Linked DNA regions of Cricetulus griseus. The protein of the gene in region 1 purifies or fractionates together with the protein of each later gene. This does not show direct contact. Links are inferred from orthologs where the notes say so. Each region holds a gene or a part of one and is shown on either strand. Other genes may lie near its edges.

Region 1 (4,600 bases):
GCCCTGAGGTGGGAGTTAGCAGTCCAGCAAACAGTGTGTCTGTAGTCAAAGGAAGAAGAGCAGAGGAAGACACATGGCTTTTGTGTGTGTGCGTTTTCTTTGTGTATGAATAAAAGGCATGCATGCCACAACATATGTGTGACAGTTAAAGGAAAGGTCCTCACCTCCTACCTTCTCTGGGACAGGATCTTATTTGTGTTATCTGGCTCACAAGCTTCTGGGGGTTCACCTGTCTCCATACCCCATCTTGCCGTTGGAGTGCTGTGACTACAGACGCCCGCTATTGCATCCCATTTTTATGTAGGTTCTGGGGATCCAAATGTGGGTCCTCACACTTGCCCAGCAAGCATTTTACTCTGTGAGCCATCTCGCCCGTCCCAGCTCTTATTTTAAAAGGGCAGCTGGAGAGAAACAAGGCCCAAAGCCAGGCATGTTGATTTTAACCAAGGTGGCCCAGGGTGCAAGGAGATGAATGGATTAATTAACCAAGGACCCTGAACCCTTGAACCCATTGCCAGACAGTGCATAGGAAGGGTCCCCATACTCCATCCAATTCCAGTGTGGCCACACTAGGGTAGGGTCTCATGGGCTTGGATGAAGGGTGTTATGTATGACAAAAGAGAGTAAGCAGGTTTGGATTCCCTGGCACAGCATTTGGGAGCCATGGAGGAATTCACAGCAGGGATGAGGGCAGCAGGCAGGAGACCTTTCTGGTGACAATGTGGAGGATGGGACAGAGGAGGGGACAAGAAGCAGGCAGCTCGGCTAGGAGGCTGTTTCAAGAGTCCAGGTGAATCTTCCTACCAACAAATGTTCTGGGGGTGCATTTTGGGGTCACAGTGACATTTATAGGTGACACAGGAGAGAAAGTGATATCCCAGTGAACTAGAATCCTTGCTGTGGTGTTGGTGGGGAGTGTCCTTCCGTGTCCAAAGTTTGCTTAGGAGTATCTAAGGTAGAGCGATAGAAGGAACTAGGAAAGGTGACCTCCCATTGTGATTTGACTATGACTTGCTAATTATAGGAGACAGCCAGAGTAGGGGGAAAAATCAGATACTCAGATCCTGCTATGTGATCTTAACCAGAGGGCTCAGACTCTCTGAGCCTCAATTGGTTTTTGTTTGTGTAAATCCTGGGTATTCAAATACACCAGGAAACTGAGGCTAGGCAAATCCTCGCCTGAGCTATTCCCAGGACACTCTGAATCTCACTATCTTCATCTGTCCAATGGGTGCAACTTCCCAAGAGGCTTACATGGAGCACTTGCACAGGGAGGATTGGGGAAGAACACATGGCCACAGTGGTTCATATCCTGGGCAACCTGTGGATTCAATAAAGTGATGTGCAAAATGTCTCCCAAAGGAATGAAGTGATCATGAACTTTGGTGGCCTTCCTCACTTCCAGGAGATTTTGAAAAGAGGAAGAGAGCAAAGGCCAGTGAAACTTGCAGGGCAATAGTCTGGGCCCAGGCTCAGGGAGTCTGGGGACTGTGTTGGACATCCAAGGAGGAAAACACATGATCCACATGGAAAGGAAGCCACTGGGAGAGTGGCAGAACTCTGTGTTCATGTTTCCATCCGTTTGTGGGTGTTGCCTCAGGACCCATAGGGAGTCAAACCATCCAGTCCTGCTGCCTGCCTTCTGGGATGTCCCCCTGAGGTCACCTCTGCTGTCTGTGAGCTGCTCGGCAGCCACCCTCATTCCCTGCCCCTTCCACGAAAAGGGTAGGGGTGCGGCCTTGCTTCCCTTGCAGATGCCAAGATGTTTCCATCTCCCTTGTTCTACCAGGATGCCCACCGCTGAGGTCCCCCAAGTAGGTGGGCAGGGTGATGGAGGCGATGGAGAGGAAGCTGCTGATCCAGAGGGAATGTTCAAGACCCCCAAAAACAGCAAGAGAAAAACCCGGGACTATACCCGCTTCTCGCCACTATTGCTGGTCTTTGCTGCTTTGGCCTCAGCAGGAGTCATGCTTTGGTATTTCCTAGGTAATGGGAAATGAGGCCCAATTGGAGTGGTATCCTGGGAGGGTTCAGGGTGGATGTAGGGACAACTGTCATGGCTGTGGGGGTGGTACAAAGGATGGACCAGTGTTCCAGGTTCTACAGTGCTTTTCTACTCCCTGTGTCCTACCTTTCAATTCACCTTCCATCATGTCCCTCCAGGTGAGCACACTGCTGGACCTTTGTGAGTCCAATGGCTTAGTCAGCACCCTGATTCCTTCAGCTGGGGAGGGAAGACTCTTGAGCACCCAATTCTTAGGTCTGGATAAACCAGGGTCTGTGTGCATGCCATCCTTTACCTACAGCCCTCCTGGGCTATCCCTTGGGCTCAAAGCCATGTGCTTTGCTGCAGGAGGCCCAGAGGCACCCACAGGACCTGGTACCAATTAGTGCCTCTGCTCATTTGAGCCCCAGGTGTTACTCTGGGGAGAGGACTATAGCTTCGTCACCTCTGTGTCTCCAGGACTCAGCATGGAGAATCAAGGGGACCACTAGACAGTACCCAGGCTTGGGAACCTCTTCTTCATATCTGACTTTGCCTCTTTGGCTCTAATATCATGGCCCTCAAGCAATCCTTGGAGCCCCATGGGTGATCCATCTATCATCATCCATCCAACAACCATTCACTCATCTTTTTATCCATCCAATCATTCATCCATCTATTCATTCATTGTCCATCCAACCATCTGCCATCCATTCATCAACCATCCATCTATCCACCATCCACTCATTGGCTTATCCATCAATACATCATCTACCCATCCATCAGCAACTCAACCATCTAATCATTCAGCCATTCATCTGTTATCTGTCAATCATTCATCAATAAATCCATTCATCCATCCATAATTCAAATATACATCCATCTATCCATCTGCCATCCACCCATCAATCCATCTATCTGTTATCCACCCACCCATCCAGTGCCAGGCACCGCCCTCACATTATACAGGCTCTGCCTCCCACCCTCTCCAAGAGCCATCTAAAGCCAGATTCCAGCACAACCCACCTTACTCACACAATGGGACCCCTTTCTTCCTCCACATCTCCTTGGGGCTTTTTCTCTCGCTGCAGCATTCCTAGAAGGTGTTATGTAGTATGGAGACCTCCATCGAATGTCTATTCTCATATACTCTGTGGAGCCAGGCTCTGCTCCACCACAGCCCCTGCTCTTTTAGCCTCTATCATGTTCATCATTGAATTTTGGACCCATGTGTCCCTCACTGTATTGGGCCAGGAGCACAGTCTCCCTTGCCATGACCATGTCCGTGCCTTCAACCTCAATTCTCCCTTCCTCAGCATTCTCTGCCGAGGAAGATGCTCCTCTTTGCCTCCACCCCCTTTTCCTTGGCATCTTTAGTGATCAAATGTCCTTTCTCCCTGGTGACTTCCACATTTGCTTGTCCAGCTCAGCTCTATTGCTGTCTCTCTACCTGGATGTTCAAGGATTCCCTTTAACCCCAAGTGTGCAGAACACAGCTCTCCCCAGTACCTACAATCCCTCTTCCCTGTGTCTACGTGCCTGCAGGCATCCATTTTGGCCATGCAGCTCCTTCTCTACTTACCCCTCTCCCCGCTTCCAGTTTTCCCAACACAGCAGATGCTTAGCATGCTCTTTGGAGATCCCTGTTAACTTGGTAGATGGGGATACAGAGCAGAGTCCCAACAGCGCTGCCTTGGAGGCACAAGACTCTGAGGACGTGCTGAGGATGACAGGTGAGAGAGGCAAGAAACCTTTGGACATGCTTCTTTGGTAACCCATTCCTTTCTGACCAGGTTACAAGACAGAAGTGACCATTAGCCAGGTGTACTCTGGCAGCCTCCGGGTGCTCAACCGCCATTTCTCCCAGGACCTGGCCCGACGAGAGTCCAGTGCTTTCCGCAGTGAAACTGCCAAAGCCCAGAAGATGGTAGGGAGGGACAGGAAGGCAGGAGGGGGAAATGTGGGAGGATGAGAGGGCAAGGGCATGTGTGAGAGAGTCTGGTGAGTTTGTCCGTCACTTTGCAGGGAGTGCTTGCTGGGATAGACCCTGTCCTGGCTACCGTGGGAAGGGTCATGCACAGGATCCAACTGACTAGACAGAAATCTTCATTTTGCCACTTGCCAGGAGTGCAGCAGGGAAATTGAAACTGTGCAGCTCTTATTGTCAGGGCCCTGCCCCTCTCATACAGTGCAATGGCCATTGCACTGGGGACAGTGGGCTGCTAGCCCCTTTCACTCTCAGCAGGCACGGGACTATTATTCAGGGGGCAGGTAGACATGCTGCAGGCACCCCTCAGCCATGAGAGAGGGGACAGCGTGGGCTGCTTCATGGTGGTGTCCCAGGTGTGCCCTCCTGATAGCACTTCCATTGCCCTCAGCTGTAACTTGCTCATTAACAGCAGGCCATCTGAACTCCCAGAGTGGGTTGGCCGTACCAGAAGTCCCTGGGAGAAGGAAAGGGGGACCCAAAGGTGAAGTGGGTCTTTGCAGGGTGTGGATGAGACTGTGTGTGGCAAGGGGAGGTTTTGGGATGGAGGACAAGGTGTGAGGTCTGTGCCTGTGACAGTGGCAAGTGAGAGCCCTCACCCTGGGCTCCCATGTCAGTCTGGAAAGAGA
Region 2 (4,241 bases), on another chromosome or scaffold:
GAGTCCTGGGGCCAGCCATTTACTCTCCCTTCCCCCTCTCTCCACACCAAACCTTCTCTGGCTCTCTGACCTCAGTAAGATTACAGCCAGTCTGGGGTACTGGGAGAGACATGGAGAAAGAGACGGGGGACCCCTGGTTGGAGCAGACCAACAGCATAGGCAACTATGGCTGGAGAGTCGGGTATCAGAGTCATGTTTGACCTCGGGAAACAGTAAGTCCAGATGAAACTGAAATTGCTTTGATAAGCGTTGGGTTGAGGCTAGAATTTCATAAAATTACAGACATCTGTTCTGAAAACTAGGATTTCTCCTTACCAATACCCCACCGCCACTCTTCCTGCCTCATTGTTTTGGTTTCCAAGCCATGTCTACTTGGAGTTTAATGCTGCCTCTTCTCCGGCCCTTATTTCCCTCTGCACTTTATTACACTGAGACTTTGGAGTGGGAGTTGGGGGATAATGCTGGGAACTGAACCCTTGAGCATGGTAAACACTCACCTATCACTGAGTTACACTCCCAGCCTCTAACTCAAGACCCCTTGCAGGACTCTTGCCCAATTATATATAGACTTACTCCAAAGAGTGGATTTTGGCAGGAGAAAGGGAGAGAGATCCTCCCCAATACCTGCCCCCCTTAAAAGACCAGGAACTTCAGGATTTGCAAAGGCTGGAGGGGGTGCACGGGGGATAATAGAAAGAGTTGTTCTTCAGGAAAAAAAATATTAATTTAAATGCTTGGTTTGTATCCTATGTGATGAGAGAGGGATCATAATGCCAGTCGTCTAGGGTGGCTAAGAGACTGATTCCCTTTTCACTGGAAAAATGACATTCTAGAAGGCACTTGTCTAAGATATTTACCCTTTGTGCCCTTCTAACACAATGAAGAAAAAGACATGGCAGGTGGCCGGCCTCTCGTGATTGGGAGTTACATATAAAAGGTATGTTTTTAAAGCATTTTCAGATCCCAAGGCTTCAGGAGAACCCGCTGAAATGATCAGGAACTCACTTTCCCCAGGAATCCCTCCATTTCTGACAAATCTGCTATTTGGTAGTCAGGATGAGGCAATACTGTGGACTCTGCCCACGGAGGTCATTCAACCTTCCCTCCACCCCCACCTAGGGGTATTGCACAAGGGACCTGAAGGTGGCCACAGGAGCAGGGCTCAGAGGCTCACTAGCCAAGCTCACCATCTGGAAGCCTCCTGCTTCCCAAGCTCCAGTCTGTATAATTGTTGTCTTGATCTCCCCAGATTCTCTCCACACCATCTTGACCCGTCTTCAACCCTTCTCTTTCCCCACACCCAGTCAAATTTCTTTTTCCAGTCACAGAACTGCCTGTCGAAATTCACTAGGTAGGAGGTTCATCAGCTGGGAAGAACCCGCGCCTGGGGGGATCTGGCTGGATAGGTATGGGGGATCGAGGCCAGCCTCTTAGTCCCTGGTTCCCCCATGGCGGTCCCCCAACTCTAAGCACCCTCATTCTACTGCTGCTCCTCTGTGGACAGGGTAAGGAAGGGTTAGGGAAGGGTTGGGCACCTCTAGATGGTAGGCTGCCGGGTAGGGGTGGGCATGCCAGCATCAGTGAGTGAGGGCGAAGGGGTGCTGAATCCCAGTCACTCTGAAAGAGGCCTGTCTTGTTTCCCCGTTTAACTGGAGGAAGGACACATATGGAGTCCTTGGACCGTAAGGGGGAAAGGTCCGACTGGATTACACGCTTTTTAGTAGAGAAAAAGAGGGAAGGAGGCGAGGAGGAGGGGGCTGAAGGTTGGGACTGGGAAAGCGCCCACTCTGGGTGCTAGGAAGAGCTGGGATGGAGGATGCCTTTTGGCAATTAGGCGCGTTCTGGACTTGGCTAGAACCTACGTCTGGGCACCGTCTCACTGTCCTCCTCTCCCTTCCGTCCTCAGCTCACTCCCAGTGCAAGATCCTCCGCTGCAATGCCGAGTACGTCTCGTCCACTCTGAGCCTTCGGGAAGGGGGCTCACCGGGTACGCAGCGTGGAGGCGGCCGTGGTGGGCTGGCCTCGGGTGGCTTGTGTCGCGCCCTGCGCTCCTATGCGCTCTGCACTCGGCGCACAGCCCGCACGTGCCGCGGGGACCTCGCCTTCCACTCAGCGGTGCACGGCATCGAGGACCTGATGATCCAGCACAACTGCTCTCGCCAGGGCCCCACGGCCCCGCCCCCGGCCCGGGGCCCCGCCCTTCCCGGAGCTGGCCCAGCACCCCCGACCCCAGACCCCTGTGACTACGAGGCCCGGTTTTCCCGGCTGCACGGTCGGGCCCCGGGCTTCTTGCATTGCGCCTCGTTCGGGGATCCCCACGTGCGCAGCTTCTACCACCACTTTCACACATGCCGCGTCCAAGGAGCTTGGCCCCTTCTGGATAACGACTTCCTTTTTGTTCAGGCCACCAGCTCCCCCGTGGCATCGGGGGCCAACGCTACCACCACCCGGAAGGTCAGGGATTCAATTTCCCTCCTAATCCACCTTCTGAAATCCTCTCCCGGTCCACCGGGCACACCACTCCTTGTTCTCACTCCTCAGCCACCAAGCTCCTGGTTCCTTGTCTTCCCCAAATAGTCCCGCCCATCTTGAATGGCTGCCTCTTATCAAACATTTGCCCCTGTAGATCAGTTCCTCTTGATGGGGATTTTATTTAAAATGCAGGTAACACTGAGGAAGAAGCTGGGGTGGCAGCCAGGCTATGAGAACTGAGGAGTCAGAAGGGACACTTTATTTTCCTGGCTGAGATTGAGAAAAAAAAAAAAAAAAGGAATGAGGGGTTGGATAGGGGTCAGGTATTACTGGAAGGCAATAGGGGACCGGATCAAGGGCCGTGGAGACACCCTGCGTCTGCTGGGATCAGATCCCTAACAATAAAAGCTGCTTGATTGAGGGAAAGATAAACTGAGTCCTAATAAACTATTTTCCTCTTTGCCCGCACAGATTACCATCATATTTAAGAACATGCAGGAATGCATTGACCAGAAAGTCTACCAGGCCGAGGTGGACAATCTTCCTGCAGCCTTTGAAGACGGTTCTATCAATGGAGGTGACCGACCTGGGGGCTCGAGTTTGTCCATTCAAACTGCTAACCCTGGGAGCCACGTGGAGATCCGAGCTGCCTATATTGGGACAACTATAATCATTCGACAGACAGCTGGACAGCTCTCCTTCTCCATCAGGGTAGCCGAGGACGTGGCGCGGGCCTTCTCCGCTGAGCAGGACCTACAGCTGTGTGTTGGCGGCTGCCCTCCCAGTCAGCGACTCTCTCGCTCAGAGCGCAGTCGCCGAGGGGCTATAGCCATCGACACTGCCAGAAGGCTGTGTAAGGAAGGGCTTCCCGTGGAAGACGCCTACTTCCAATCTTGCGTCTTTGATGTTTCAGTCTCTGGTGACCCTAACTTTACTGTGGCAGCTCAGACAGCTCTGGACGATGCCCGAGTCTTCTTGCCGGATTTAGAGAAATTGCATCTTTTCCCCTCAGATGCAGGGCCTCCTCTCTCCCCAGCTACCTTTCTAGTCCAGCTTCTTTCAGGCCTCTTTGTTCTGTGGCTTTGCGTTCAGTAAGTAGGCCAGCAACCCTGTGACTAGTTTGGGACTGATTTGAGGGTAGAGGTTGGCGTGAGAAAACATTAAGATGGACCAGAGGAAGCAGTGGGGACAGGGAGATAGCGGAGACAATGACACTCACCCAGAACCAGATGGGGCTACAGTCAGGGACGCCTTGATCCTAGAAGAAGAATTCTGGGTTTTGCATTCCAGACCGTGGTAGGAGCTCTTCACCGTGAGTTTCCGCAGTCCCATGGGTAGAAAGCTCATTACTCCACTCCACACATACCTGATATCACTCCTACAAATCTAGAGATTGTGAGAGTGCTTGTGAGCAGCAAATCATTAAAGGGCTGGGATTTCTTAAAGGCAAGAACTAAAAATAGGAAGATGTGATTATCTTTAAGAAAGTCCGAAGAGAAGAAAATAATTAAGTTTTGGGGTTCAGAAATTAAGCGGGCATTGTCTAGCTCTTAGACAAAGGAAGTCAGCTTTTGGAGACTAGTACCAATATAGAAACTGGCATCCCCACCCCTTACCGATCTGTTATTAAAGCTATGAATTCTCCACACTGTCCTCTGTCACCTGTGTTGAGTCCCTTTACGGATGTGTGACCTGGAATTCGGACAATGAAAGATATCTCAGAGTTATCAGCTATCCTATCTGCCCTTTTGGAGTCCCCAGGCTATTAG

Evidence for each region.
Region 2: the proteins of Tmprss6 (region 1) and hemojuvelin purify together in Homo sapiens (co-immunoprecipitation; 3 studies listed by IntAct). This does not show direct contact. The link is inferred for Cricetulus griseus from reciprocal best matches to the Homo sapiens genes TMPRSS6 and HJV.

Annotation. Positions count from the first base shown.
Region 1 is NC_048595.1:375,563,176-375,567,775, reverse strand, and holds the start of Tmprss6 (transmembrane protease serine 6), read left to right. Parts: upstream 1-1,754; coding exon 1,755-1,986; intron 1,987-3,777; coding exon 3,778-3,911; intron 3,912-4,600. UniProt on the Homo sapiens protein: Membrane-bound serine protease. Through the cleavage of cell surface hemojuvelin (HJV), a regulator of the expression of the iron absorption-regulating hormone hepicidin/HAMP, plays a role in iron homeostasis.
Region 2 is NW_023276806.1:59,966,664-59,970,904, reverse strand, and holds hemojuvelin, read left to right. Parts: upstream 1-1,408; coding exon 1,409-1,505; intron 1,506-1,906; coding exon 1,907-2,454; intron 2,455-2,943; coding exon 2,944-3,567; 3' UTR 3,568-3,721; downstream 3,722-4,241. UniProt on the Homo sapiens protein: Acts as a bone morphogenetic protein (BMP) coreceptor. Through enhancement of BMP signaling regulates hepcidin (HAMP) expression and regulates iron homeostasis.